Notamacropus eugenii: one gene and its partners. The protein of the gene in region 2 interacts with the protein of the main gene of each other region in a pairwise test. Links are inferred from orthologs where the notes say so. Each region holds a gene or a part of one and is shown on either strand. Other genes may lie near its edges.

The links.
Region 1: the proteins of NRIP1 (region 2) and CIB1 interact in a two-hybrid assay, tested with the Homo sapiens proteins (2 studies listed by BioGRID and IntAct). The link is inferred for Notamacropus eugenii from reciprocal best matches to the Homo sapiens genes NRIP1 and CIB1.
Region 3: the proteins of NRIP1 (region 2) and CEP70 interact in binary tests that used the Homo sapiens proteins (3 or more experiments, as listed by UniProt). The link is inferred for Notamacropus eugenii from reciprocal best matches to the Homo sapiens genes NRIP1 and CEP70.
Region 4: the proteins of NRIP1 (region 2) and RORB interact in a two-hybrid assay, tested with the Homo sapiens proteins (2 studies listed by BioGRID). The link is inferred for Notamacropus eugenii from reciprocal best matches to the Homo sapiens genes NRIP1 and RORB.

The regions. Positions count from the first base shown.
Region 1 is NC_092872.1:169,846,230-169,853,717, reverse strand, and holds the start of CIB1 (calcium and integrin-binding protein 1), read left to right. Parts: upstream 1-4,016; 5' UTR 4,017-4,521; coding exon 4,522-4,572; intron 4,573-4,834; coding exon 4,835-4,869; intron 4,870-6,074; coding exon 6,075-6,183; intron 6,184-6,422; coding exon 6,423-6,573; intron 6,574-6,672; coding exon 6,673-6,791; intron 6,792-6,880; coding exon 6,881-6,969; intron 6,970-7,241; coding exon 7,242-7,263; 3' UTR 7,264-7,488. Other genes in the region: GDPGP1 (GDP-D-glucose phosphorylase 1), read right to left, coding at 1-1,064. UniProt on the Homo sapiens protein: Calcium-binding protein that plays a role in the regulation of numerous cellular processes, such as cell differentiation, cell division, cell proliferation, cell migration, thrombosis, angiogenesis, cardiac hypertrophy and apoptosis.
Region 2 is NC_092876.1:410,459,153-410,467,218, forward strand, and holds the start of NRIP1 (nuclear receptor-interacting protein 1), read right to left. Parts: upstream 3,405-8,066; 5' UTR 3,290-3,404; intron 1-3,289. UniProt on the Homo sapiens protein: Modulates transcriptional activation by steroid receptors such as NR3C1, NR3C2 and ESR1. Also modulates transcriptional repression by nuclear hormone receptors.
Region 3 is NC_092876.1:328,657,703-328,665,622, reverse strand, and holds the start of CEP70 (centrosomal protein of 70 kDa), read right to left. Parts: upstream 3,486-7,920; 5' UTR 3,468-3,485; intron 1-3,467.
Region 4 is NC_092874.1:374,203,711-374,211,515, reverse strand, and holds the start of RORB (nuclear receptor ROR-beta), read right to left. Parts: upstream 3,170-7,805; 5' UTR 2,460-3,169; coding exon 2,453-2,459; intron 1-2,452. UniProt on the Homo sapiens protein: Nuclear receptor that binds DNA as a monomer to ROR response elements (RORE) containing a single core motif half-site 5'-AGGTCA-3' preceded by a short A-T-rich sequence.

The DNA of each region.
Region 1 (7,488 bases), on a different chromosome or scaffold from region 2:
CTTTGGAAATCCTGAGGTGTTTTAACAGGCAGATGTCCTGCCAGCTCACAGAGTGCTACATTGAAAGCCTCCCCCTCCTTAACCCCAAAGCTGGACTTCCGGGCCCACAGAATGACCCGGACACCAGCGTAGGCCAATGAGGATGGTGGGTTTCCAGGTGGGGCTCCCCGGGTCACAAATAAGTTATGTGCAATCTCCTGGTCAACGAGGTAGTTGGTGACCTGGCAGACCTTGTCTACCAGTGCCTGCAATTTTGGTCCTGGCTCATCCACATAAAATAGAAAACCAGGGGCTGGGAGTCCTTCTAGTAGGTGAATATGACCATTGGGATCTAGTGGCTGGCTTGGAGCTGTCTCTACTGGCAGTTTATGGGCTAGGTAGTAACCATGCAAATGTAAGTGGTTAACAGAAGCCAAACCACCTAGACTGTTGAAGCCCACCCGGAAGCCAGGGTGGGTGCTAAGCATGACAGCCTCCACCCCAAATTGTAATGGGTCTGGCATGAGCATCTGTGGTAGCCCTTGGGTTGGCTGTGGCACAAACAGCACATGTCCCCATTCCAAGGGACTGACATTGATAATTACCAGGACCTCAGTGCACTGGAGAGCCATCGGAAAGCCTGGATCTCGGCGCAGGCGGAAGAGGATTTCTCCTGGATGGATCTTATTGAAATTGAACTGCTGAGGGTCAAATGCCTGCCTCACACTCTGGATGTTCTGAGGGCATCTTCTCTGTATGCCCCGATCCACGTTCAGCTGAGCCACAAAACCCAGAGGGCCAGGAAGGATTTGGGTTTGCAGTTCCCCAAGGCAGTAACGAAACAATCCTTGTTCCATCCGTTGTTTCCAAGATGATTGGAGGGTACAATCAAAACGAGACAGCAAAGGGGGACACTGGATGCCAGATTCACTAGTCTGCCATTGTATCCCTTCCACTATCAGTTCCTCGAAGCAGTACACAAAATCCAACACTCCCAGCCCAACTGGGGGTCTTGACGGTTCATCACAGCTATTGCTCTGAAGCGGCAAATTTGAAGTTTCATTTATATTCTGTGGTACAGCCATACGAAAAGGGCACAGATTTCAAGTTCTACCAGGTATGGGTTCCTCCAGGTGACCTGGAACACAAGAGCAATAGAGTATGGTGTCACATTTCGAAGGGCTTTAAAAAAATCTTGGCTGCTGGGTTTTGTTTTTTTTAGGTAACCTTTAAAAGTAACTTTTTATAGTAGAGCACAGACCCTGGAGTAAGGAGGGCCTGACACACCTGAGTGTGTCAACTTGACACACTCACTAGCTGTGTGACCTTGGGCAAGTCACTTAACCCCAATAGCCTTGCCTTCCCCACCTCCAAAAAAAATATCAAACAAACCAAACAAAAAGTAACTTTTACAGTTTTGGAAAAAATACTGTTGTAAATCTATTTCTGTAAAAACAGGTTTCTCCGCTGCTGGGGTCTGTACATATTAATCTTCCCCATGATATGTAATAATATTATAGTTTCTCAATATGTATGCAAGGCCAAAGGAAAATTGATAACCTAATAAAGATTACAAATCCTGTCCCATAACATTTTCCATCTGCCATTGTACCAACTCCTTGAAATTCTCACTTTTAGTTCCATATCCCTCTAATGAGTCCAGAAACAAAGGGAGGCAAAAGTACCTCAAGTTAAAATTTACATTTATGTTGCCTGATAGCAGACCCCCAGTCATCTTCTCTCAGTAGTACAAAACAGGTGACACTTTGGAAAGGGAGTATTCTTCCTAAGCGAGTTAGCCATGAGGCTTGAGGCTCAGGAAGGCAGTGGAGAGGACAGGCCCACAGTTGGGTGTCAGATAATTGGGTTATTAATTGATTAAGCATCTGTTGACCCACTCCTATATGAAGCACAAGATATACGATGAGGAATTAGAGATGTTCCTCACCCTTCAAAGAGTGTAGTTTTACAGTAGGAGATGTAAGACAGGTACAGAAATGACCATTCACATATTAGCATTTACTCGGTAGATGATGCATTATATAGTTTTTAAAGAACACATACATTTAAATACTTGCTCCATCTTCATATAAACTCGCCATGAGGCAGAGATAGGGCAGGTGCCCCGGCGTTACCGAAGGATCTGGAGGTTCAGCGATTGCACAGTCTAAGTCATAGTAAGTGATGGAACCAGAGGGCAAGCCAGCAGAGGAGAGAGCCGCGGGCCCTGGGGGTAGAAGGCTTTGCTGCTCATTTCCCACCCTCCCCTTTTCCGGCTCCAAATAAGGTGCTCCTCCCACTGACGTGGGCGAGACCTAATAAGTTTCATTAGAGACAACAGGAAAAAAAGGGGGGAGGGCGAAATTGACGAGGAGGAGGAGGAGCATCAAAGGGAAGCTTCCTGCATCCACCCTCCCCTGGCTCCCAGCACAGAGGTCTCCAAACAATCGCTGTCCACATGCTCCTCCCTACCCCTTCTGCGCTCCTCCAGGCAGCGAGTGCACCGTCTGTCTGTCCTCGCTCCCCGACTCTCCTCACCTCGGCTCTTCCCAGCAGGCTATGCTAGGTGGGTGCAGGTGCCTTGTCCAAGGTCTGGGAAGAGGAAACTGGCAGCCCCACTTCCTGAACGCTTCGGGGGTCACGGATGCGCATGCGCCTCATTTAAGGGGCAGGATCATCGACTATGAGGTAGAGATCACCCCCCGCCCTCTCGAGGAGCAAATGGGCGGGGCCTGCTAATTAGGCCCCGCCCCCTCCAGTCTCAAGAGGAGAAGACCCTGGCATCCCGACCTACTCCCGCTCTCTGGAGCTCAGTCAGATTTTAGGATCCCAGGATTCAGGACTGAAAGGGGACTTTGCGAGATCATCTTGTCCCTTAGCCTCGTTTTATAGAGTTTCGATCCTCCTGAAATGAGGTACCGTTTTAGGGGAGATCCTGGCTCGAACCCTCATTTCTGGCAAACGCTCTCTTATTAGACCGTAGAAGACACACACTTCCAATACGGACATACCAACAACGTGACAGCCAGACATGAAGCTACATAAGTCCAAATTAGGGGATCAGATAGTGAAATATTCTCCGCACTCATCTCTGCAATCTCCTGCTCTTCCAGGGAATTAATTTAATTCCCCAGCATAGCCCCAGAAGAACAGTCACTTCATAATCTCCAGGGGTCTCTCCTCGGCCTCCTTGAAGAAAGTTGTGCTGATTCTGGAATCTCAAGGTCAGCCAGCCAGTCAACAACTATTCATTAAGGGCCTGCTATGTGCCAGGAACGGTGCTAAACACGGAGACGAAAGAAAGAAAAAGACAGTCCCTGCCCTCTCCACGAGCTCACAGTCTATTAGGAGACAAAAAGCAAACACGTTTACAAACAGGCTACACACAGGATAAAACAGGGTGGTGAATTGGGAAGGACGGCACTGGAATGAAGAGAGGCTAGGACAGGCTTCCGGTAGAAGAGAGGTTTTTTTGTTGGGATCTAAAGGAAACCAGAGGGGTGAGCAGCGGCCGGAGCAGAGGAAGGAGAGCGTTCCAGGCATGGGTTACAGTCAGAGAAAGCTCCCCGGAGCCCAGAGAGATGCCAGAGACCAGCGTCATGGAATGGAAGCGTACGCGTCGGGGATTATAGAGTGAGAAGATGGGTAAGGCAGGACGGCCATTGGTTAGAAATAGCTTGGAACGCCAAGCGGAGCATTTTGTGTTTGCTCCTGGAAGTGATCGGAAGCCACTGGAATTTATTGAGTAGGGGGGCGACAAGGTTGGACCTTCGACTTAGGAAGTAAACCAAGAGTACTTCACTCCAAGCGGTTTCCGAAAGTCGGGGGTGGGGGGTGAGGGTGGCGGAGGTCGGGGGGAAGTATCTAATTGGCTTCTCCTTCAAACCCTGGGGCTCACTAGAGAGACTGTAGTAGTTTAAAAAGCTCCCGCTTTATGGTGCAATCTCCACCAAAGTCCTTCGCTTTGGATCACGTAACGCACAGCATTCTGGGAGATGTAGTCCAGAGACCTTTCAATGGACTTTCGTCCTTATGAATTGTGGGAAATGAAGTCCTGTGTTCAGGCCCAGTACAACCTGGCGAGGAAACTGAGCCCCAGAGACCCGTTCGTCCAAACCCCGCATTTTTTCCACGATACTCGGCTGCCTCTCTTTCTGCGAGGGGTGGGAATAACAAGCTGTCTTCTCCTAAGGCGCAGCAGCAACAGGTCCCAGGATCCCGGCTCACACTCTCTTAACGCCTGCCCCCGTCTGGCCCCTTCCCTTCCCCGCTCCCGCCGACTAGACCGATCACGCCTGATTTTGGAATCCTCTCCCTGGATTTCCCTCCGGGAATGGAGAACTGGCGTTCGGGCCCTTTAAGAAAGAGAGAGGCGGAGCCTACGGGCAAAAGCGGAAGGGGCGTCGGAGTTGCCCCGGTTGCCGCGGGGACTGGGCGGGCGGCGGGGCGGGTGACGCGAGAGGCGGAAGTGAGTGGGAAAGTTGTTGCTGTCCGGGTCGGAGTTGGAGCGGCTGGTCTAGACCCGGCGGGTGTAGCAAGGCCATGGGCAGCTCGGCCAGTCAGCTCTCCAAGGAGCTGCTGACAGAGTACCAGGTGCGCTGGGGGCGGCGGATGTGCCTGGGCCTACCCGGGCTGGGCGGGCGGCTTGGGCCCCGGAACCACGGGCAGGGCTAAGAGGGCCGCGACCCTTGGCCGTGCACGGCCGGTCTCCCCCGCACACCCGCACGGCCTAGCCCCGCCCTCAGGGACGGGAGACCCGAGGAGGCCTCGAGTGCAAGGCTCCCCGGACTGGTGGGGGGCGGGGCAAAGGTCTGGGGTGCCGACTGTGCCCATCGCCTCTCGCTCTTTCTTCCAGGAATTAACGTTCCTGACGAAGCAGGAGATTCTCCTGTAAGTACCCCTCCAGCCTCCGCCTACTCAGGAGGCCGCTGCACTGGGCCACAAGACTTGGGTTTTCTCTCCTGGCTTTGCCACTGAGTGACTGTGTGACCTTAGGCAAGTCACTCCCCTCCCCTGAGTCCCAGCCTGCCCCGCGAACAACTGAGGGGTTGGACTAGACCGCCCGACGTCACGATGAGTATTAGGACTGAAAGAAAAGTGGAGACTGAGTCCCAGAGCGCTGCCGGGCCTGGCCGAGGGCACCGGTGACTCTGAGGGCAGGACTCCAAAGTTCACGCTTCTCCCCTGCCCTGCCCCGCCCCGGTGCATTGTGGGCTGTAAAGCAGGTCCTTGGAGCGGGGCCAGGCCATGGAGCAGTCCAGCCTTTAGGAGCGGGTCTTGCTCTGAGACCTGGCTTTCAGTTTTGTGCCCTCGCTGGCCAACGGGTGGTGCTGTTGCCCGTAGCCTGCTCGGCCACGGCCACCAAGTAGGAAGTTTCTATATTCAGCCACGCGCCCAACTTTGAGTTTTTGAACCACCTGTAACATTTTGCTTGCTCTACGTACTTGGAGATCAAAGCAGTTGCACAAAGCTTTTTCTGAATACAAATCAATAATGGAATTCCTGAACCCTTCTTGGCAGGGGCAGAAACACTAAGAGGGGTGGGTAGCCCCTCGTTGGAGAATGGCTACATTGACTAAGCCTCTGGGAAAACCTCTGAGCAGAATCCAGGCTAAGTCTGAGGACACTAGGCAGAGACTGTGGGATTCTTGGTGCAGTCCATGGGACCATGAGCTTTTTGGCCTTGTTATTCCCAGTGTTAGCACGGTGCCTGGCACATCGCAGGGACCAGTAAATGCTTGTTGACTGACTGACTGGTTCCTACCACCCTCCATCCATCCAAATCCTTTTCAACTTTCAAGGGCCAGCTCAAGTTCTACCTGTTTCCATGAAGCCTTCTTTGATGATGCCAGCTCACAGTAATCTCTTTCATCCTTTGAAATCTTATCACTTGTCTGTACCAGTGCTTTGTGACATCTCTCCTGTATTGTTCATAAGCTTCTTGTGTGTTTTTTGATCCTGCCTTTTCCATAACTAAACAGTAGGCTAGCTCCCCACGCAGCTGTGAATTTAATAGAAACTGTAAATCTTATTTGGTTGGTGGACTGAATGAATATTTGTGAGCTGATAGAATGAATTCTGGTTTTCTTTACCAGGGCCCACAAGAGGTTTAGTAACCTGCTTCCTCCGGAGTCTCAGAATGTGGAAGATTCTCTGAGAGTCCGAGTATCCACTGAACAGATCTTAACACTTCCGGAGCTCAAGGTGGTACCCTTCCCACAATGCTTAGTTCAGTAGTTAATTTCAGCCCCCTGTTTTGGGATCTGTGGGACATTTCTCAATCTAGTAACCCCTTCTTCTTCCAGTAATTCTAGTGATGAGCAGTCCTCTGTAGTTCCCAGTACAGGCCTTTGGACATAGCACATGTGTCATCAAAGTTTAGTGGTTGGTTCCCTATCAGAAACTTAATGCCCTTCTGCTTACAAGAGCCTCTCTTGCTCTAGGCCAACCCCTTCAAGGAACGTATTTGCCGTGTGTTCTCCACAGCACCAGAAAAAGACAGCTTGAGCTTTGAAGACTTCTTGGACCTCTTCAGTGTCTTCAGCGATGCAGCTACCCCTGAAATCAAATCCCACTATGCCTTCCGCATCTTTGGTAAGGACTGAAGGTACCAGGGTATCTGTACTGAGTGGAGTGGGAGCATCATGGTCTTTTCAGCAGGGATAATTTTTTGTCTTGGTCTTTCCTAACTAGATTTTGATGATGATGGGACTTTGAACAAAGAGGATCTGAAGCAGCTCGTGAACTGCCTCACTGGGGAGGGGCAGGACACTCAACTCAGCACCTCGGAGATGAAGCAGCTCATTGAGAACGTGAGCTTGGATAGGATAAGGAGGGAAGGGGATAAGAAAGGGGAAGACATTGGGGCTTTTGATTGAACTTCTCTCTTTTCCCTGGGCAGATCTTAGAAGAATCTGACATTGATAGGGATGGTACCATCAACCTGTCAGAGTTCCAACATGTTATCTCCCGTTCACCTGACTTCACCAGGTATCACCAGGGCCACCTGGCAATTTAGCTACCCATAGTACCTTGCTAGAAGGAGGGCAGGAATAAGAAAAGTGGAGAAGTGTTTTCGGGGTAAGGTTAACTCAAGTCAACCCCATTGTCCTCTGGGATTGAGCCAATTTCAGACAGGTTTTAGGGAACATATTTACCAACCTCTGTCTGAGTTTACTTGATCTAGGTCTCATTTCCTATTCTCTGCCCACCATGCCTGTTTTACAGTGGATCAGTAAGTCGTCCATCTTTGTCTCTTCCAGCTCCTTTAAGATTGTCCTGTGATGGGTACTTGCAGTGTCTGGCTACACCAGTAACCCATTTTTGAGAAATTCTCTTCTATACACTGACCTCACCTGCAGTGCCAATTCGTTGCAAGTGGTCGCCATGCCTGGGCTAGCCCTGGGTCCTGTACCAAAGAGTTCAACCCCCTGGGCTCTCCTCTCCTCACTGCCATTGTGACAACACTGTTCATGTTTATACTAATCAAATAATAAATATTTCGAAGTT
Region 2 (8,066 bases):
TATATAAATTTTTTCAAGGCCAAGAAGGGAATGTCTTTTGATTTTACTATGTATATTTCTTATAAGGGTTTTACTTTTTCTTTTTTAATGAAGAGTGGAAAGAAAATAAAAGCTTTTTAATTGACACAAATTTTTATTTTAAAATAAGATGGAAAGTACCATTTTTTATTGATTAACGAGAGTTCAAGCCAGCCTCAGATCTGCCTTGTGTCCACCGTCCACTTCTACAATGGATGCAACTGCTGATGCCTCAGAGCTCCACCCTCTGATCTTGTCTTCAAGCTCCCAATCTGGCACTATTTCCCAGATTGGTTCACTTTATCTATTTCATCTCTGGCTTCTGTTTGAAGACTTCAAGTTACGGGTACTATATTCTGAGGCATTTCACTTCAAGGGACTCTTAATTGTTAGGAACTGTCTCCCTACACTGAAACTAAATTGGCTTCTGTCAACTACTGATTTTGTCTCCTAGGGTTATGCAGAATAATTGTAAGCACTCACAGGCATAAAAGCTCCTCAAATACTTGAAGACAGCTATCACAGAGTCTAAATCCTTCCCTTCTCCAGGCAAAATATGAATGAATAAGCAAGACAGCATTTAGTGGGCACTAATAATGTACTAGGAACTATGCTAAGCACTTGGGATACAAATACAAAAAGCCGAAGGGCCTCGTGCCCATAACGAAGTCACATTCTGAGAAGTCTGACAAGACAGAAGCCAGGGAGAAGTGTTATGGTCTAAGTCACAAGGATGGTATTGTTGATTTGATTGCTATTTCAAGAGCAAGAGGTTTCGGGGTATGTGAGAAGGATAAGCGTTAGCATAGAAAGAAGATGGCTAAACTCCCCTGTGAAGCCCACTGTCCTGTCCTATTTATTCCTATTTCCTTACCCCCTACCCTCCTGTACCAGTTTAATGCCATCACCACAAGTTTCAGTGTTTATATTCCTAGTTCTCCAGTGTTATCAGCCAGGTTCTAGCTTTAGTTTCCTTCCTTACACAGTCTTGACCACACGGTCAGCTATTTTAATAAAGCCCTCTTCTTCACCTTGATGCCTCTGACCTCCTACTGTCCCGTCCTAACTCTCAACTTTAGGTAACTCTTACTATTTTGCCTCCTCTGTTCCTATTTCCTAGATGCCAAACTTTGCTGCAAGTCTGCTCCAGTGTGTGCTATCTAAGCTCAGTTAGGCAGCCCTTTCACTCTCCTTCTAATTATTCTGTTGGCTGTTATTTCACATTCCCCACAAAGTGGGTTTCACACCGCTGTTCTCTTCTCTAGTCCCTAAAGTTGCCCCCCTCCAGCAGTCTGAGAAAATGACTGCCTCTTACACTGCAGGCTGATGCTTACATAATCTGTGCTCTCTTATCTATCCCTTTCTACTTACATGATCATCCCATAGTTCAAAGTTTCATCACTTTCCTACAGAACTTTTGCCTTCTAATTGGTCTCCCTGCCTAAAGTCTCTCTCCTCTTTAATCTGTTTTAGACTTAGCAACCAAAGTGCTATAACTAAAGCATAGCATGGTACAGTAAAAAGAGTAAGGCTTTAGAGTCAGTAATTCATAACCAGTCTGACATTTACTATCTGTATGGCAATTCATTTAGCCTCACCTGGTCTCAGTTTTCTCATCTATAAAATAAGAGGCTTAAGCTGGATAGATGGCCTCTAAGATCCCTTGCTAAATAAACTTCAATTGTTCCCTATTTCCTTCTAGGAAACAGAATTGTCTCCACAACTGCTTTACAAAATATTTTATAACTGATTATCCAAGAATAATAATTGATAAAGATACTGGATAGGGCATTCTCTTTGATAATCTCACCTACCATTTAATTTGCTGTCAATCTCCCTTTGGTCCCATGCAAGAATCTAGTTGCAATAAAATAATAACAATAATAAAAAGAATCTTGTTGGGGAGAAAAACAATTATGATTCTCAGAGAGCCCATCTTTTCTAGTCATAGGTTTGAAAGGAAAAGATGAATTTGAAGACACACTTGCTAAAATATATTGTTGGTGGAGATATTAACAGGTTAACCATTCTACGTGAGGTAATGTGGCATTACGCTCTTTAAAAAGTGACTACAATGTCCATCATTCTGACCCACAGAGCCTACCGATAGGCATACATCCCAAGGATGTCACAGACAGAAAGAAATGTCCCATATACATTACAGTGTTACATAGCAGCACTTTTTATGTTAGTGGAAAAACTATAAACAAAGATCAAAGGATGCAGAATGGTTAAACAAATTATGGCACATGAATTTAATGAAATATTAAGATGCCATAAAATGATGCATAAGAACAATTCAGAGAAGCATTAGAAGTCTCATATGAGCTGTTGCAGAATGAAGTAAGCAGAGCAAGTTAAACAAAATACAATATACCTGTAATAACAAAATACTTTTAAATTATATTAACCAACTTCAGCTATGAAAAAGAAATTTTAAAAATGCATCTGTTTCCCTACTTTGCAAACGAGGGACACTTGGAAGGATGAGTAACATCAAACAGGTCAGGCTCTGGATGGTGGTTAGTTTCATTAAAATACTCCCCCACCTCCACTCTTTTTATTCTTTGTTACCAAGAATGGTCTTTGGGTAGGAGAGGAACATGGAATATGTTCAGAAATGAAGATCATTTAAAAACAAAAGCTATCAAGAAAAATTAAAAAGCAAAAGAAAATGTGGATTTGGAAGTGATTTAAGTACACTTCACTCTTAAGTAACTTTTTCTTTTTGTGTTCAGGGCAAAGGAATGATAAAACTTAAAAAAAAAAAACAGCTTCATATTCTCTAGGGTCATTGCTAGTAAATATTTTTTAAAATCACTTTGTAAGCTTGTTTAATGCAAGAGTTCCCTCAAAATTCTATTTAAAATGAAAGGTTTCACAAGCACAGTTTGGTAAACCAATACTTAGGCAAGTGAGAAAAGACTGTAAATCTACTTGAAAATATATTTATGTTTTATTATCCATAAATGAAAGAAACTTTCTAAAAGCTTTTATGCTACAAAAAAAGTTTTAATGAGCCTAAGCACTAATATGGGCAAGACTCTGCGTACTCAAAATGAAACAGCTTTTCTTACCACATGCCTTTTACTTACATAAAATCAAAGAAAGTAGACTTCAGTGTTCATCACATAAAATAATAAACATTCTTTTTCTACTGATAGATAGCAAATTTAACAATACCTAGAAGCTGATGGCCAAATAAGTCATACAGTAACGTAATTACTCTCCTACTAAGGACTTAATAACCTATATAAATAAAATGCCATACCTTTTGATTTTCTCCCAGTATCTGAAAGAATGGATGCTGAAAACCATGTATCAATTAGAGTTACAGGCAACAGGTAAATACATCTGTGGGTCAATCTTTCCAATTCCAATAGTTCCTGAAAAAAAATTTAAGGAGGACTGGAGTTATTTTACAATGCTCATTACTTTAAAGGAACCCTTTAAAGCATTTAATAATTCTGAAAAATAACTGATATTTATATAGATCTTGAAAATTTGCAAGGCACTTTTTCACATTATTACAGTTTTACAGATCTGAAAGGTATACCTATCATCTGTCTGAACAGGGATTCAAACACATCTGTCTACACTGTAGTCTTACCCTTTGCATGACACCATTCTGTGACTTCAATAGAAGTCTTATAAGGGATTAGACCACCTCTTACAAAATAAGGAGGGAAAAAAGAAAGTACTTCATTCAAGGAGTGGAGTACTTTTATAGCTAGTCTAGTCTTTCCCAGATGATGACTTTTGACCATACCCAATGGAAACTGTTGTTTTAGATGAGTATAAAATGTTCTAAATCAAGTATCCATTCTTCAAAAATTGATACTTTTCTGTAGAAAGGGAGAAATCTGTGCAAGAAACAGCCAGGAAATTGTGAGGGTTTTTTAAGTGTAAAAGGGAAATCATCAGAATGACTTAATAATAAACTTAATTATAGAACACTCTTGCTGTCTTGTTTTGTATACATTTTCTCCACCTTGTGTTCTATAACCTGTTTTTCCCCCTACTTAAGACCATAAGCTTATACAATATGAAATCCCCAAACTGATATCCCCAAAGAGTAGCTCTTCAGTTTCTATTCTGTACTCCAATTTTATTTTACTACTGTCTTTATTTTGTTTAAAGGAGAAGAGTCCTTATAACAGAAAGCTAAACAAACTTCTGCATGTTCTGATAAGAGAATTCCCTCTTCCCTCCAAAGTATGTCAATAAAAAAGATGCATAAGGATTTACGATCCGCTCCTCTCCACTCCAACACACACAAAATACTCCTCGCCCCTAGTAGTTAACCTTGGGAGCTTCAGAAAAAGACAAGGTTTAAATACAATCACATACACTCATCATTTCACAGTTGCTACCCCACCTAGACTTGGCCAATACTAGAGTAATAAGGCACATCTAGCAGCACTGGCCACCCCCTTCCACACATCTAGGAAAAAAAGCTTTCAAAGAAGGAATACCCCATGATTTTGGACTAATTCTATATGTAATCTAAACTCTTAGGCCTGCCATGGTTCTATAGTAGGTAGCTCTTCAGTTCCTACTGTTTATTCCCATTTCATTTTATCAGTGTCCAACTTGTTCAAAACCAACATGTAAGGTGGCATATAATCTCTCTGAAATTCCTTGAGAAAATTAAAGCAGTGTTTTAGAACTCCATGGAAACACTACCCTAAGTTAAAGACAAATACATAAAACTGCCACAGAAGGGGAAATAATAGTACTGCTTAATAATTTTTATTTTAATTCCGTACATAGAAAATTGTGTCTAAGAATTAACTCTTATCCATGCCAATATTTTTCACGAAGGATAATCTTCCAGAAGGAGGGAAGAGCTCCCAACTAAGCAGGTGAGAGAGGATTCAGGTTTCTTCTTTCCTAGGTCCTGCGCCAAGTGGCTTAGCATTATAGCTCAACATCAGGAAAACTCATGCCAGAAACAAGTCTGCAACTCCTTACTGCCCTCTTGGCAACTAAGAATATCATCTGTCACTAAAGTCATAATTAAAGCCAGAATAGTCTTTATAAAATTTAGGAAGTGAATGGTGGGAGTGTGAAGAATGGGTAGGGAAGGGGTAGGTCGAGAAGGTTATTAGCCAGAGGGGTCAAACTCCAAGTCAGTAAGTGCTGCAGGTACCAGAAAAAATATAATTAGGAAATACTTTGCAAAATAAAAATATAAAACAACATAGATAAAGTTCATTCATGGTTTTCTAAGCCTGTAAAGTTCCGTTTCTATTTAAGTTTGACAACAATGGTGTTAGCTACGGGATAAACTGAGAAAATTTCTCCAATGAACAAAACTAAAATAAATAACTTGCGTTAAAAAAAAAAATTTGACTTATTTATTCTCACACTTTAGTTATTTTTGAATGAAATTTCTCCATTTCTTCAGCAGCTACATAAAAGTATTACCAGATCACTTTAGGCAGTAAATTTAACCTTATGTTCACTTTCCACAAACAGCATAACAAATCTTTCTAACAAACCGCTTTCCTGACTGTGCTAGAAGAAAAACAGTACTTTAATTAAATTACATTGAAATTTTTCCAGAGCAAAATTAGTGACTTCAAAGTCATGGAGTAAAGAAAAGTAAAAGATAAAGATGATACATACCTTTAATACTAGAAATTATCGTTATCCAGAGTGCAGGATACATTTCTAAAAGTTTCTGATTCAGTTATAAAAACTAAATAACAATCAAAGTAATTTGCTTAGAACAAGTTTACTATGAATAATCTATTGCACCAATGCAAAACACAGGCACTTGAAATGCTGAACAGATCTATTGTGGTTGTTGTTCAATCCTATCCCTCCCTCTTGACCCCATCTGCGATGTTCTTAGCAAAGATATTAAGTGGTTTGCCATTTCCTTCTCCAACTCATTTTACAAATGAGGAAAGCAAGGCAAATAAAATCAAGTGACTTGACCAAGGTCACACAGCTAGTGTCTAAGGAAGAATTTGAACCCTCTTTCTCCTGACAAGGGCTAGTGCTATATCCACTGCACCACCTAGCTTCCCTTGCATAATTAACGAAGAATGGAAAATTTATGTCAACTCATCTCTTGGCGGAGACGGTGCAAACTTTTTTCTTCTATGTAAATATGTATTAAACTGAAGAAATGGAGAAATTTCATTCAAAAATAACTAAAGACAATATAAAATACTTGAGAGTCTAACTGTCAAGACAAACCCAAGAATTATATGAACACAATTACAAAATATTCTTCACACAAATAAAATCAGATCCAAAAAACTAGAAAACTAATAATTGCTCATGGGCAGGCTGAGGTAATATAACTAAATTAATCTACTTAGTGCATACCAATCAAACCACCAAAAAAAATAAAACTTTTATAGAGCTAGAAAAAAAATAACATCTGGAACAAAAAAGTAAATGACATCAAGGGAATTAATGAAAACAAATGTGAGGAAAAGTGTCCTAGTCACACCAGATCTCAAACTGTATTATAAAGTTGTAAATATCAAAACAATCTAGTATTGGCTAAGAAAGAGTGGAAGATCAGTGGAAAAGATTAGGAGCACACTACACAGTAGTACTGACCAGTTATCTAGTATTTGATTCTGACTGACCACAGTAATGACCACAGTAATCTAGTATTTGATAAACCCAAAGATCTAAGCTTTGGGAACAAAAACTTATGATGTGAGAAAAACTGTTGGGAAAACAGTATAACAGAAACTAGATATAGACCAATATATCACAAACTGTATGTCAAAATAAGATTAAAATGAGTACATCATTTACACATAAAGGGCAATATACCATAAGCAAATTAGGAGAACATGAAGAATTTACCTGAGATATATGGGTAAGGAAAAAATTTAGGGCCAAATAAGCTATTGAGAACATTACAAAGTGTAAAAGAGATCATTCTGATTATATAAAATTAGAAAGTTTTTGCACAAACAAAACAAATGCAAGCAAAATTAAAAAGGAGAAAACTGGGGGAAATTTTTGTAGTAAATAGGTCTAATAAAAGCCTCATTTTTCAAATACATAGTGAACAGAGTCAAATTTGTAAGAATACAAATCACTTCTCAATTGATAAATGAATAAACAGGCAGTTTTTAGACAGAAATCAAAGCCATCTACAGACATCAGAAATGTTCTAAATTATTACTAAGAAAATGCAAATTAAAACAGTTCTGAGATATAACCTCACATTTATCAGACTGGCTAATGACAGAAAAGGAAAAAGACTAATGGTGGAGGGGATGTGGGAAACTGAGACACTAATGCTCCATTGGTGGAGTTGTGAACCATTCTGGAGAACTACTACATAGGTTCCCAAAAAATATAGGCCCAAAGTACATATAAAACCATGTATACCCTCTGACTCAGCAATACCACTACTAGGTCTGTATTCCAAAGAGATTTTTAAAAAAAGGACCTATATATACAAAATATTTATAACAGCTCTCTGTGGTGGCAAAGAAGTGGAAGTTGAGGGGATACTCATCAACTGGGGAATAGCTAAACAAGTTGTGGTATATGATTGTGATGAAATACAATTGTGCTATAAGAAATGACAAACAGGATATTCTCAAAAAACCTAGAAAGACTTACATAAACTGATTTAAAGTGAAATGAGCAGAACCAGGAGACCACTGTACACAGTAAGCAATATTATATGATAAAGTAACTGTGAATGACTTGGCTCTTCTCAGAAACACAATGATCTAAAACAATCCCATTAGATTCATGAAGAAAAATGCTGACTCCAGAAAAAGAAGTGATGCTGTCTGAATACAAACTGAAATATAGTGTTTTTCATTTTCTTTTCTTTCTTTCTTTGGTTTGAGTCTTCTTGCACAAGGTGACTAATGTGGAAATGTGCTACATGATTGGATACTATATCAAACTGTGTAGTGTCTCAGGGAGGGAGAAGGGAGGAAAGCAGGGATAGAATTTGGAACTCAAAACTTTTTTTTAAAGTGATAAAATTGTTTTTACATATAATGGGGGGGGGGGAATAAAACTTTAAAAATGTTATTCCCAGAGAACAT
Region 3 (7,920 bases), about 82 Mb from region 2:
TAGAATTATTTAGAACTCATGTTCCCACCATCACTAAAAACAATTCCCCTCTTGACTTTTTTTTTTTTTAATGAGAATTACGTATCATCCTCAGAAGGCTCAGAACTTTGAACTTATATTTTACTTGTCCTTCTCTATTTACAGCGATTCTCTTTCCTTCTCACCTCCTCCCTCTGGCCTGATATAACCAGGTGGTTGCTGTCTCCTTTACAATCACTCTCCCATTGGTTCATTGTTTTCAAATATCCCTTGTTTGGGCCCTTGTGACCTGGGCTTATGCAGTAGTCTTTTAACTGGTTTCACTCTACAATCCTCCCTGTTTTCTGCTGTCTAGATTAAGCTTCCTAATTATAATTTATCTTACGTGACTCCCCAATACTGCCTCAGCAGCGCACAATAACTTCTCATTGCCTAAAAGATAAAGTTTAACCTCATTTTGACATCCAAGGATTAATATAGGTCTTTTATTTCAAGTTTTAACATTCCTTTCAAGCATCATCTCTAACTATTCTCATGCATTCATTCCAGAAAGAGGTATCAAATACCTGCTGAGGGGGGCTTCCATCCATATGGCTGCATCAGAGGTTTTCAGTTAGCCTCATTAGCTCAAAACAGACATTTGACAGATAAATTGAAGGAACAATAGAATATAAGAGAAAGTAAGGAATTTCTTATAATAACAACAGCAAAAAGACTTAAAAATGAGCAAGCAAATAAAAGTCCCCTGAAATAGTAAGAGAACAGTAAGAACTATCCAGAAGAAGAGAATATGTCCTATGATGAAAATCTCCAAGGAAGAATTGATGACTTTGAAGAGAAGTTATAAAACATAAGCAAGGCAATGGGTACTTGGTAAAAAAAGAATGGAAGAAAGAAAAAAGTTCAGTGATATTACTGCAGAGCCAAAAGACAGCAAACTTGGGAGGTCTTTGTAACAAAATATAATTTGCCTGAAATACAGGGCTTGGAGAGTCCACCTAAGAATTACTGAACTTCCAGAAAAACATTATTGAACAAAAAGTATGAGGATCATGCTTACTTCAGGAAATCAGAAAAATTGCCTAGAAATATAAGAATTAGAGGGTAAAGTAATCAATAGTATGCATAATCAATCAATAAACATTTACTAGGCACCTACTATGAACTTAGCACTGTGCTAAGTGCTAGGGATACAAAATGAAACAAAAGACAGTCTCTGCCCTCAGAAGAAGCTTACAAATGGGGAGACAAGATACAAATTTTACAGATAGATAGATAGATAGATAGATAGATAGATAGATAGATAGATAGATAGATGGATAGATGGATAGATAGATAAAGCAAGTTATATGCAGGATAAATAGAAAATAAAAGAGAGAAGGCACATGAATGAAGAGGGGTTGGGGAAGGGTTCCAGTAAAAAAAAAAAAATAGGATTTTAGTTGGGACTTGAAACCTAGGGAGGTCAGTAGTTGGAATGTAAATATTCCAAGCGTAGGGGACACCCAGAGAAAAATGTCCAGAGCCAAGAGATGGAGTGCCTTGTTTGTTAGACAGCCAAGAGGCTATTGTCACTGGATTGAAGAGTACATATCAGGGAGTAATGTATAATACTGGAAAGGTAGGAGAGGGGTTGGTTATGAAGGGCTTTGAATGCTAAACAGAACACTTTGTATTTGATCCTAGAGGCAATAGGTAGCAACTGGTGTTTATCAAGAAGAGTTTGGTGGCTGAGTAGAAAAAGGATTAAAGTAAGGCAAGAGTCTAGACAAGTAGACCCCCCCCCCCCCCCCAGTACGCTTTTACAGTAATCCAGATGCTGAGGTGATTCATGCCTACACTGGAGTGGTGACAACATCATAAGAGAAAAGAAAATATATTTAAGAGATGGTTCAAAGGTGAAATTGACATCCTTTTAAACAGATGGAATGTAGGGTAGGGAGGGGGGAGTAAGAGATAATGAAGAATCCAGGATGAGTCATAGGTTGTGAGACTCAGAGACTGGGAGGATGGCATTGCCCTCTATAGTAATAGGGAAGGTGGGAGGGAGAGAATTTGGGGAAGAGATAATGAGTTCTGTTTTGGATATAGTGTATTTATTGGACATTTAGTGGACATAAGGTATTTATTAAACATCCAGTTTAAGATGTCTGAAAGGCAGTTGGAGATGTGAGATTCTAGAAGTCAGCACAGAGTTTGATGTAAGATAGATAGATTTGAGAATTATCAGGATAGAGTTGGTAATTAAATCCATGAAAGCTACTGAGATCACAAAGTAAAGTACAGGTATCCCTTCCACATCACAATTTTCCCCACTGAGGTTTTGATATATCATGAATCAGCATAAGAAATTAAATGGGAATTTTGGGAGAATTTTACAGAAGCTGAAGATGACACATGGAGGCCAGCAGATGACACAGAAAAAAATCAGAAACTCAGAAAAAGTTTAGAAACTCAGAAATGCATAAAATATAGTCTATGACCAAAGACTTAACCAAACTTTACAATAAGGTACTGTAAATACCCCATAATAGAAAAAAATCAGACTTCTCTGGTATGAAGAGAGGGCAAAAAAAATTACACAGATTTTCCAGATTGTAGAGGTGCCATGCCCCTAGCACCCATGATGTAGAAGGGATAACTGTAGCATAGAGGGAGAAGAAAAGAAGGCCCAAGAAAGAAGCCTAGAAGACACCTATAGTTAGAAGGCATGATTTAGAAGAGAATCTAACAAAGGAGACAGATAAGGAGCAGTCAGATAGGTAAGATGAGAACCAGGAAATATCGGTGTCCTACAAACTTAGAGAGGAGAGAAAATCAGGTAGAAGAGAGTGATAAACAGTGTCAGTGGCTGCAGAGAGGTCAAGGAGAATGAGGATTAAGAAAAGACCATTTGGATTTGGCAGCTGATAGATCATTAGTAACTTTGGAGAGAGCAGTTTTGGTGGAATGATGTTTGGAAGCCCAACTATAAGGGGTTAAGAAAAGAGTGAGAGGAGAGTAAATGGAGGCCGCATCAGATGGCCCTTTTCAGGGAGTTTAGCTACAAAGGGCAAAAAAGATATAGAATGAGTGGAAACAGAAGGATCATTTGAAGTTTTTTTTTTTTAGGATGAGGGAGACATGGGCATTTTTGTAGGCAGTAGGGAGGGAATAGTAGTCAGTAGACAGGGAGAGGTTGAAAATAAGTGAAAGTAGGGATGATAGATGGGGCAATCTGTTGGATAAGATGAGATGGAATGGGATTGCTTGAACAAGTTCTGGGGTTAGCTTTAGTAAATAGTAAGGTAACTTCGTAATGTGAAATAGGGTTGAAGGAAAAGATAGTGACAGAAAGCATCTGAGTGACAGGAAATGATGAGACTGGAGAGCCACCAATAAAGAACCACCCCAGGTTTAAGTCACACAAAAATGTGATTGCCAAGCTTCAGAGATTACAGATCAAAAAGGAAATATTACAAGTGGACAAAAATAGGTAGATCACATACCAAGGAATGTCATGTAGAATCATGCAGGAATACTTTTCCTCAACAAAGAAGAAAGGGGGAAAAACTGGAATGCAATTTATCAAAAAGCAAAGCAAGGATATCCTTGTATCCAAGGACAATATCCTACAAAGTTGAGAATAATCCAAACATGGAGGAAATAGAACTTTTAGAAGAATTGATGACCTCTAAGCATTCCTTTTGAGAAATCTAGAGTTGAACAGTCTTGGAAATGGAAATGATTCCACAAAAGAAACTTAAGAAAGTTAAAAGAATCTACATAGCTGTGAAGAGCTAGGTGATACTGCAGTGCTTACAAACTGAAAGCAGGAAACAAGATTATTTTCCCTTGGAAGTCCCACTTAGCCTTTGAGAATCCTAGGTTATTTCTACCACTAAGAGAAGGCAGACATCAGAATAAACCTTAGTGAGCAGTTTGCTCTTATGGCATTGTGACACATTCTGCTGGACTGCAAAACTTGAACCAAAATACCATCTCTGTGCCTACTACTTCTCAAAAGTTTAAAGATAAAAAAAATCTGATTCTAGTCACATGACTAAACACATAGTGGACAACTAATTCAGGACTAAATAAACAACAATTCACACTTCTCTAGTACTTTGTAGTTTACAAAATACTTTCAAATACATCATCTCATTTGAGTATCACAATTGTGTAAGGTCAGTAAGAAATCCATATGGTACCTTTGTGAGCCACTGACAGCTTTAAAGTATCAATCAGTGAACAAGCGCTTACTAAGTGTCTCCTATGTGCTAAGAATTGTCCTTGTCCTCAGAGACCTTACAGTCTACTAGATGGATACAATAAACTGACAGGTAAATACAGAATATGTACATTTATCCCTGCTCGGAATTTGGCCTGTCAGGGTAAGAAGGTGGAGATAGTTTCCACCTGTATTCCACTGGCCTTGAAAGTAATTGACAGCAACACTTTATTTTTGTTTCTATTTTATTTCTTTGGGGCAGGTAAGTGAGACAGTAGATATAGTGCTGGCCCTGGAGTCAGCAAGACTCATCTTCATGAGTTCAAATCCTACCTTAGACACTTTCTACTTGTGTGGCACTGGATAAGTCACTTAAACCTGTTTCCCTCAGTTTCCTCATGTGTAAAAAGAGCTAGAGAAGGAAGTGGCAAACTACTCCACTATCTTTGTCAAGAAAAGCCTAAACAGGGTCATCAAGAGTCAGACACAACTAAAAAACAACAAAATTTTATTTCTTTAACTTTAGACACCAAATAAAATGAGCATTTCCATGTACATAGTAGAAGAGAAAAAAAGATTTTACATGAAAGTGTACATCTCTATTATGTACAGTTTGCTTTTTTTAAGTATATAATTAATTCAACATAACTTTCAAGGCTATCCTGCTTCTCTGGTATTCCTTCTCGACTTCCTTCAGTTCTGTTAATTTTTTTTTTTAATGCTTCAATACTGTTCTTTTTCTTTCATTTTTTTTGGTGGGGAGGGAACTCTATCCCTATCACCCACTTCTTCTCACCCTACCTCACTGAAACAAGAAAAACAAAATCCTCATAACAAATATTCATAGTCAAATAAAATATGCATAATCAACCAAAACAAATTCCTACATTGACCATCATTTCTCCCATTGGTCTTCTGGAATTGTGCTTGGTCCTTAAATTGATTAGAGTAGGCTTTTCTTATTTCACTGAATCAATTATTTTCTTGGTTCATCTCAACTCACTCTGCATCAGTATTAGCATTGTTTATCATCAAGCTAGAACTTTTCCCAAAGGAAGTACAAAGAAAATGATACAATGATACGTCCCATTTTTGTAAATAGCATCTTAGGCTACTCTTTCATTGTAAAACAATACTCTCCATGGGCAGTGACTTGACAGTTTTTTCTTAGATACCACTTGAGCAACAAATAGAATAAAATAAAGGAAAATAAACTGACAATGTAATTAATTACATAATTAGTCTGAATTTTAGAAAGACAACATTGTGTAGTGAAAAGAACTTTGAATTTAGAATAAAAGGGTCTAGATGTGAATCCTATTTTTGACTGGCCTAAGTTGCTGAGCCTCAGTTTCCTTATATTCAAAATAGAGATAATAAGGCTCACACACTCTGCCTTCCCCATAGAATGGTTGTGAGGTAAGTGTTTTGTAAAACTTGAGGTACTACACAAATGTAAGTTTTTTTTTCCCCTAAAACCCATGATTGTCTTATCCAAACTTTGCCTCTCTTGTGGCACTTAGCATGATTTTCTATACACAATAGGCTATTAAATACTACAGTCTTTGCTGAGCTCAAAGTGAGAAGCTCCTATCTACATCACAATCAGTACAAACTAGCCTCTTCAGCAATGCCTCCTTTTGGTTATTTCTGTGCATATGACTCATGGTTCTGACCCTATCCACTGAAAATGTTTTCTGCTTGGATCCAGCTGTTACAATTTTCTCAGCCCTCTCTGATCATAGTCTAGCAAAGTAGTTTGACGAGTGGAACATATTATGAAACATTTCAAAAGTTAATGTAAACTCTCTCAGTCAACATTTTTACAGTAACCATAACTAATAATCCCCAAGGCAAGATTTAATCTTTTTTCTCGATGACTGCTCGTGACCTATGGGAAAATAAACCTGAAGGATTAAAGAGAGTTTTAATGAGATATTATAATACACAGAACAAAAGGAAGTTCAGAAGGGGACACTGACAAATAGGGCATTTTTGTTACTACCATGTTAAATTTAACATATTTTTAAAAAATTGTATGTAACACGTTCAATTTTATGCAATCCTCTTTTCTTCTTTGCATGTTGAAGTGTTTGTGTTTAGTAAGTTCATAATGTAGCCCATAGAAACTCTGGGGATCCTTGATCCAACTCCCATTTTTACAGATGGACCTCAGGTCTTGTAAAAACATTACATATCCACCCCACCCCCCACCTCAGAGTTTGAGGAAAATCCAGGAGGTAATTCTCTAATGACATCAGCTCAAACCCCCACCAGCATGCTTCTTTCACCCCTGAGGTTATCAGTTGAGAATCATTTTAGTCAACCAGCCTTACGTAACTTTTACATATTTACTAAATTGGCATAATTAGCAAAGTTTGTAGAAAACATCTCCATAAAAGTCTGTGGACACAAGTATATAGAGACCAGGGAAAAGTCAACTCAAGTTTAGGGAACAAATGTTGCAAAGGGGTAGATCAGAGCTCTGGGTTTGATTTCTAAGCTATTTGTGGTTCTATAAGTCTATGCTCAATTTGTCTTTGGCTCCCAATGCAGACCCTGCCATCAGCTGATCTGGGGATACCACCAGAACACCAATAGGAAGATGAGAAGTCCAACATTCTCCGGACCCTTCAAAATCCATAAGGTCCTCCTCTGACCAAGGTTTAACTTCAGGTTTCTACTTCCAGTGCCCATGGTTCTTCCTAAAAGGGTTTTGTTTTTTTTTTAAATGTTGTAACCCCTCAAATTCCTCTAGTTTTAAGCAAGCTTGATAATTTATAGATGATTCCTGGAATGTGATCAAAAGTTTCTGTGCAATGTCACTCTAATTCAAAGGAATTTTTTCATTTATTGTAAAGCTGGGATTATTAACTTGTGTGTGTGTGTGTGTGTGTGTGTGTGTGTGTGTATGTGTGTGTTATAGACTCCTTTCGAAGTCTGACAGAACCTATGGACTCCTTAACATAATGTTTTAAAATAAAGAAATTTCATTTAGAAGTTAGTGGTGCAACTTTTCTTCCCATTCAGTTTCACAAACTTAACTGAAATCTAGCCATGGACCAATAGGTCTAAAGCCTACAATTGAGAGTGATTGGTTGTTTCTTTTTTTTTTCACTTTAAGAGGGGTAGCATGACTTGAATAAATCAGTCAGCCTCACCCTGACAGTAATAAAAAAAGGAAAATAAATAATATAGTAAATCTGGGAAGTTTAGTGGTTTATAATAAACCTCCTTTTACATACACAAAATGAATGGGAATTATCTCAGACATTGGCTACATTCTCTAGGGAAGCTAGCAGCTGCCAACTAGGTTGTGCTGGGCCAGATAATTTCTGCAATTCTGGGCCATGACTTTACCAATGAAGTTGCAGGATAGGATCTCAGCAACTCTACTTCTCCCTGGCTACTCCCATTCTGAACTGTCTTTTTGTTGTCATCAATAAAGCACAGGAGGATAAGGGGAAAGTGCTCAAAGCCCACTAGGCTGAGAACAGAGGCAGCAGCTGGTGGTTGCCAGATGGCAATGAAATAATTAAAAATGCTGTGGTACAGGACAAAGAAGCAAAGAACCTGAGACCCATTTTCTCTGCCTTAACCCAGATTTGAGCACACTGTTATAATCAAAGTCTTTCATGTGGAAGAGGGATCAGAACTAGAACCAGTAGCTAGAAGCTATAAAAAGACATTAAAAAAAAAAAAAGGTTTTATTGATGCCTGTTTTTATATTA
Region 4 (7,805 bases), on a different chromosome or scaffold from region 2:
ACCCCCAAGCCCCTACCCCCCAGTACGCTGACATATCAAGAAAAGCAGTTCTCCGCTACCCAGGAAAGGAAGGAAGAAAAAGAGAGGGGGCAGGAACCTGACAGAAATGAAGGGGATCTGGGGCTTCTTAATGCTGAGCAATCGTTATGTGTGTACCAAGTGCTAGAGGGGGAGGGAGAAGGGAAAGAAGGGACAGTGACCCTCCTCCTCCCTGCCCGCCCTCCAGCTTCTTCAGAGAAGTTGGTCAGTAGAACACGTGACTAGCCTTGAACCAGACACACACACACACACACACACACACACACACTCAAGGACCGGGAGCGTGGACTCGCGTCCCCTGCCCCATTGACGTTAATCTACCATCCACGGACTCACGAACTCTCCCACGGGTGTTTCTCACCACCAGCCACCTAGCTTTCTTCCGTGTAACGCAATACGTGGGTCCTCCCCCTTCTGTCCCAGCAGACACAAACTTGTGCACACTCACAGTAGATCCCCAACCTCACGTCTTGGTCCCAACCTAGAGGGGGTGACTATTCCTATCAGTTGTGCAGGGATCTAACTTCAGCGACAGGCTGAGGACAGTGGTCTGGAAGGGAGCTGGCCAGATGAGAATGCTTGTTCCCCTTTGGCAGAGAGAGGGGAAAGAGGGTCTGCAAGCCCCCCGCTTCCTCTAAGACCCATCCTGTCCAGCGTGGGCCCAACTGCAGTCCAACATCTTACAGATGGAGGGATGTGTGTGGGAAAAGAAAGAAACCAGAGAAAATTTAATTGCTGTTCTAACTCTCGGCTCCCTTTCAAAGTCATTAAGTGGCGGAAGCTGAAGCGTTTCAGGCTCTAGTCCTAACTTTGGCTGTCATGGTGTGGCACAAAGTGTTTTGGTGAGAATGAAGGGATAGGATGAAGGGGTCGGGCAGCAGTGGCGGGTTTGGAGAGAGGAAAGGACAGCGAAAGCCGACCTAGAGAAGCAGCGCTAGAATTTAAGAGGCGGGGGAGGGAATGTCAGTAACCAGAAGGGACCCCGACTACGTGAGAGGACACCGAGAGGAGAGAGCTCGCTCTCCAGCTAGTCCCCTGATGCATTGACATGCAAGGAGCCTGCGGGGCGGAAGGGAAAAAAGAATGAGTCAGCTCTAAGTTCTAGGGGAAAAGAAGAGAAGAGTGGGGATAAGAGAAAGGAGGAGGAAAAGGAGGATGACGGTGAGGAGGATGAGGAGGAGAATGGGGAGGGGGAATCGACTCTCGTGGAGGGAGATAATGTTTTGACAGTCCCGAATAGAGGTACCGCGGAAGGGGAGGAGGGAGACAAAAATAACTTTGGACAGGTGTCTTCAAAGACGTATTCCCCGCCCGAGCACGCCACCTCTGGGACCTCCTAGGCCCTCCACTATCCCCAGAAGCTACAGTGGGGGGTATGGTTCTATTTTCACCCTCTTTTACTTGGAAAGCAGAGGGAGGGGGGAGCGCTCAAGGAAACCGAGTAACTGCTTGCTGCCTTCTCTACCCAACTCTAGCAAGCTTGTTCGCTGAGAGAACTAACTTCTCAAACAAAACTTCCTCCTCCCACCCTCTTCATGGCCCCCTCTTCTCCTCCTCGGCCTCTTCAGAGCCCCAGAAACAACGACGATTCTGGGATGAGAAGCAGCAAGAGACAAGGAGAGGGCAAGTCTCCCCGCAACCTGACCGGTGCCCCATGGTACCTATTTTCCCCCTCCCCCTCTCTCTAACTTCCCCCCTCCCCCCAGTCAAGTTCAATAAACATTTACACGCTCAAGAAAAATGCATCGCTCTTCCCTGAGATGGTCCAAGGGTTGGTTTGCTCGCGGCTACTCCTCCCATCCCCGTCTCCCTGGAGTGGATGTTGTCCCTTAATCTTCCCAAGCCGAGGTTGGCGACCAGTATGTGTGACTGTTGTTGCATTTTACTAAATACTAGAATATTGCTGAGATAAAATGCTTTTCCTCTTTTCCTTTCCCTGGCCATCCTATCCCACCCTTTTCCATGAGCGTAGAAAAAGAGAGAGAGAAAGAGAGAGAGAGAGAGAGAGAGAGAGAGAGAGAGAGAGAGAGAGAGAGAGAGAGAGAGAGAGAGAGAGATTTCAGTGCAAGTAACTAAAGTAGAAAATAAAATTTCTCCTAGGGAACATCCCTCTTCCCTAAGTCCCAAACAATCAAACAAAAGCCTCTCCTCGCCTACCCAAACAAAACTCGAGCCACAGAAACACCGTTTCAAAACTTTATCCAACAAGGCCACTCTCAGCTCTCCCTATGAACACGAACTCGGTGAAATACCCCGTTCTCAAGCTTTTCCTTCACTTTCCACTGAGCTTCTGGTCTCCACAGCTTCCCTCCCCCCCAAGCCATCCCATCTTCAAATGCGAACCCATCTCTCTAGAGCTTTTTGCCTCTCGACCTGCCCACTCCGCCTCCCCCCTTGAGTTCCTTTTCCTTACCTCGCATGGTGTTGCCGATCGCTCGCTCCGCGCAGTCATGAAGCTGCTACCAGCCCGCACCTCGGAAAGCACAAAAATCCCTTCTCAGCACGAGTGGAGGCTGCAGCCGAAGATCTGTTCTGCCGAGAAAACCATCCCTCCCAGGCTGTTATTGTTGCCAGTTGTTGGTGTTGGCTGCTGTGTGGCTACTGAGGCCTCTGCTGCCTTAACTGGTTTTGATGATAATGGTGATGATGATAATGATGGTGGTAGTGGTGTCTATTTGGTCAGGTGGGGTTTTGTGGTTGTTGTGTGTTTGTTGTTGTTGTTTTCTGGAAGGGTGAAAATATGTTGTCTGATTGGTGCCTGGGTTTGTTTTGTTTGGTTGTCTTTCTCTCCAGTGTATTTGCTTTAAAAAAAATGCCACCACCGGTTTAGAAGATTTCTTTTGTGATCACTTGGACTGAGGAGGAGGAGAAGGAGGAGGAGTTGATGGTGGTTTGGTTAGTTACAAAGAAGAGGGGAAAGGAGCAAAAAAAGGAGGGGGGGGCAGGAAAGAAAGGAAGGCTGTGTGGATGGCAGAACATGTGCGTTTTCACATGACATCTGCGCCTGTTAGCGGATCCACAATGTGAATTTTCACTGTTCAGTTACAGGGACGCTCAGGGAGGGAGGGAGAGAGGGAGAGACAGAAAGAGAAAGAGAGAGAGAGGAGGAGGAGGAGAGGAGATGGAGAGAGAAAGCTGCAAAGAGGCTTATAGCAGAGGGCGGGCTAGACCCGGAGTTCTAGGCTCCTCCTCCTGTCAGCGCCACCGCCTATCACCAGCCTGCTGCCCTCAGCCCGGCTGGGACCACTCCAGGGAGACTCAGGGAGAGAGAGGGAGAAAGACGGAATTACAGAGTCTGAGAAAGCCAGGCAGAGGAAAAGAGGAGAGAAATGGAGGGTCCAGCAGATCCGCAGGTGAAATTCCCTACTGACTCATCTGTTGAGAGCGGGTTGGGGCAAAGGGGGAAGGACGGATGACCAAGGACAGACATTTAAGCCCCCAATTTTCAGGTTTCTGTGGAGCTAAACAGAAAAAAAGAACCCACTTGGTCCAACCTGTCTCCACATCTTGTGCTGATTTCCCAGTCATAAAGCTTTCCTGTGCCTCATTTTTCATTTATGGCAAGCCTTCTCCTACTTCCTTTTCAATCAACTCTTCATCTGCATCTCTGACAGGGAATTTAAGTGACTATAATTATCAGTAGTAGTAGTAGTAGTAGTAGTAGTAGTAGTAGTAGTAGTAGTAGTAGTAGTAGTAGTAGTAGTAGTAGTAGCAGCAGCAGCAGCAGCAGTATTATACTAGTATCTAGTAGTAATAGTAGAGACTGTATATGAGAAGTCACTTTCCTTACAAGTAAAATACTTTTTCAAAGTAACTGTCAACCCATTCTGAAAAAATATTTCACATGCCACTCCTCCCCACTCCAGCATTTTTAATTCATCTCTTAGGTTTCCTTTGAGATGGCATTTTGTGTTTATTTTCCTCTTTGCCAAAAAAAAAAATGGATTTTTGAGGTATAGAAATATATGACCTATTGATTATGGGGTTCTAGGAAGTTGAAGAACAATATAAAAAGGAAGTGAGATTATCCTCATCATTAAAGGTTAAAGAAACTGAGTGAAGGAGATAGGATTGTGTTAATTGAACCTTACATTCATGAGGAGTGTTAGGAGAGGGTGGTAAACCGTCCATGTGCGTTCTTAGTTGAACACATTACTTTATCTGTTTCAAGGAAATGATTGATGTTTGGGTGCAAGTAAAGTACTTTGGAACTTCTTAGGTGAAAGTTGTAGTATAAATTCTCTTATTAATTTTTAATTCTAATAGTGTCAGTCTAGTACAAATAAAGAAAAGTTTTCCTGCGGATAAATATTATCAAGAATTAAAACTAAGAAATTCAAAGGCCTTCCCCCTGTACTGTTGACCAGTAATGTTATTAATAATGCTTTATCAAAAATGGGGAGATTAGAGCAAAAATGATTTAATTTGCTCTGTTCCATCTTGAGGCAAACTATTTTTGCCTCTTCCCTATAGTGGTAGGCATAGAAATTACCCAGGTTGTGCCTGTTACAAATTTGGTGGGTGAAGAATGATAAAAAATTAATTTATATTTCTATTTACATTATGTCTACATAGTACAAAGTGAAAGCTAGATCTGGCAATTATCTAGTTAATTAGATCAAAGTATATAGCTAGAGGAGATAGGTGAGTCTCTAAAGTGGTTTTCTTTGACTCATAACATTAACTGGATGAATTTCGGACTCCATACTTCCAACTGAGTCTTTGTTTGCCCAAATAAGTTTATTCTTTATTGTCAGGCTCTGTACTCTTTAAGACATTTTAAATATTAATCATGAAACATGATTGATTAAATTAAGGAAATAGATTGAACAAAAAGAAATTTTCCTTCCAGGATAGTCATTCACATATAAATACCTTTCCCCCAGATTTGTAAATGACAGTGGTTAATCTTTTAAGACAATATTTAAGGCTGCATGAGTTTATCATTTTAATCAAGTAAAATATATTCATCATAACTACATTAAACCTTCACTAAGTTATGCCTAATTTAGTGGGTTCATTAAAAATTACTGAATATAAAATAGTCAAGAAACAAGTTGTGTCTGTATCTTTTTTGAATCTCATATGCCTCAAGCAGATATAGCTGGAATGCCAGGAATTCCAAAGCCTCTGCGAGTCAGAGACATTTTTTGTTACATTTTTATTATTGTTGGTTTTTTTTTCACCACTGAGTAAATAAGTTTAAATCTAAATCTGTGTTCTTTCTAGACCTTCAGTTCTAAATAATGACAACAATTGACACGTTGTCCTTTACTCCTTACCCTGCCTATAATCACAAAGATATGATAGGTCAGGTATGCACAGGAAGCACATTATGTTTTGTTTTTTTAAAAATATACTTTAGGTGTGTTCAGTGGTGTGTTACTTTGCTCAGGAGCTAGATGTGCCGTATTTATTCTTTTGAGAATTGTGAAAACAAAAGCCAACACTTATCGAATATTAACCAAATAGAAATGATTTAATAATTAAAATCTTTCAGATGTATTATTTTGTTCTTTTGGAAACTTTATGTAACTATATATAATAAGATATACGATTTTAAAAATTGTTGTTTCTTTGGTTTTAAAGGGTAAAACAAAAATTGATCATGGGTTATAACGTGTAAGTTTGTGGTATTGTAAGTCATTCTGAAAATTTATGAGTTCCTTTGTTGAGTAGTTTCCAAAACTCACAAAGTTGTTTTGTGGTTGTTAATACTGTAAGAAATAAACAGAGAATTTAAAATTCAGTCTTTAATTAATACTTTCCAATAAGTCTTGAAAGATGTAAGAGGAATTTTGTAGCTAGCTTTTATTAAAATCCTCTTTAAAAAGTAATTAGATTTTCCTATATCCCAAATGTTTGTTATTTGTCTTTCATTTTCAAAGAGGACCAGTGACATCACGGGGTCATATACAACAACTATCACTGGCCTACCTTCTGTTACCTGAAAGGCAATGTCAGTGGCTTGTATTTTCAGATTTTAGTAAAAGACTTTGCCAACATAATTTTTTTTAGCATCATAAATATCCTTCTACCTTTGATCCTTGAGATCTACTTAATTTTATGTTTGGGTTAATAACATTTTGTATTATTCAACCAATGAGGATTTACTGAGTGCCCACTACATGCTTAGGACTATGTTCAGTCTCATGCAGTGGTATCATTTAGAATCTCAAGGCTTGCCTCTACTTTCCCCCTAAATATATATATTTATAGTATAGTAGCAGCAAATATCTGCTGGAGGCACTATTTAATAATGAGCTATTAGTGTACTGTGGCTGTTAAAAAACTCTTGAAAGTTTATGCTGCAAGAACAAAATCACAGTATTTAGATCCTAGAAGATCTAAATAATGTGATGATAAAGGGGACAATGGGTTAAGAGTCTGAATTTTGGGGGATCCAGTTTGACTCCTTATGCTTCAATATCTTCATCAATAAAAAGGGAATATCAATCTGAATTTAGTTTCTTAGAAGAATTGTCTTGAAACATGATACAGTGGGAAAAATACTGATTTGGGATTCAACAGATCTTGAAATTCCAGTTGTGATTTTTACAGTCTATAATACCTTGGTTAAATCATCTAACTTTTCTCAGCCTCTGTTTCCTCATTTATAAAAGGAGGGTGCTGGATTAATTGACCTCTGAGGTATTATTTAGATCTAGATTTATGATTCTATGCTATATAGACATGCAATTATTATTATTTTAAAAATACATCCTAATAAGCATAACTGTATTTTGTATGCTGGTGAAATTTTATCTAGATTACTTCATTCAGCTCAGTTCAGCAGTGTGGTTAGAGAGATGGAGTTCGAGTCAGATTTGAAAGAAATTCAGCCTCAGACATTTGCCTGTCTTGTGATCCTGAGTAAGTCCTTAACTTCTGTCTGCTTCAGTTTCCTCATCTGTAAAATGGTGAAAATAATAACTCCCAAGGGTTGCTGTGAGGATCGAATGAGATACTATTTGTAAACTGTTATGCAAACCTTATTAGATAAATTCTAATAGTTATATCATCATCCTCATTATCAACATTATTAGCTTTAGAGGACTGTAAACAACCATTCTATAATTTGTGTTCTTTCTGAGATTTACTGGAAAATTAGCCTGCATACCTTTCAGATGGGGCAACTAGGTAATGCAATGGATAGACTGGTGGGCCTAGAGTCAGAAAGACTCTTCTGAGTTTGAATCTGGCCTCAGATACATGCTAGCTAGGTGACCCTGGGTAAGTCACATAACCCTGTTTGCCTCAGTTTCCTCCTCTGTAAAATAAACTGAAGAAGGAAATAGCAATTTCCCTTGTATTTCTTTCAATTTTCAGTATTCTTTGCCAAGAAACATCAAATGGACATGATTGCAATGACTAAAAAAACATTTCAGATTCTGCTAGTTTGGTTTATCTCAGACTCCTTTTATTGATTGATGTTTGAGAACATTGGCTTAGATTGTGGATACATTCTGCAGTGAGTCATTAAAGAAAGTTTAATTTGGTTATTCTAGATCAACTCCATGTAGTCTCCCAGATTTATAACCCTGTTCAATCTAACACAGAAAATGAAAGACTGAGTAGACTTGAAGTGTCTTGTGATCTACAGAGTTTAATTAGGTATGCTTTACTTTGGCTCAACTGTTATTGGAATCAGGATCTAGGTACTACAGACTCTAAAACAAGGATTGGTAGGTTTTTCTTGTAAAGTGCCAAATAGTAAATATTTTAGACTTCGTAGGCTGAGAAGCAAAATTGAGGATATTATGTAG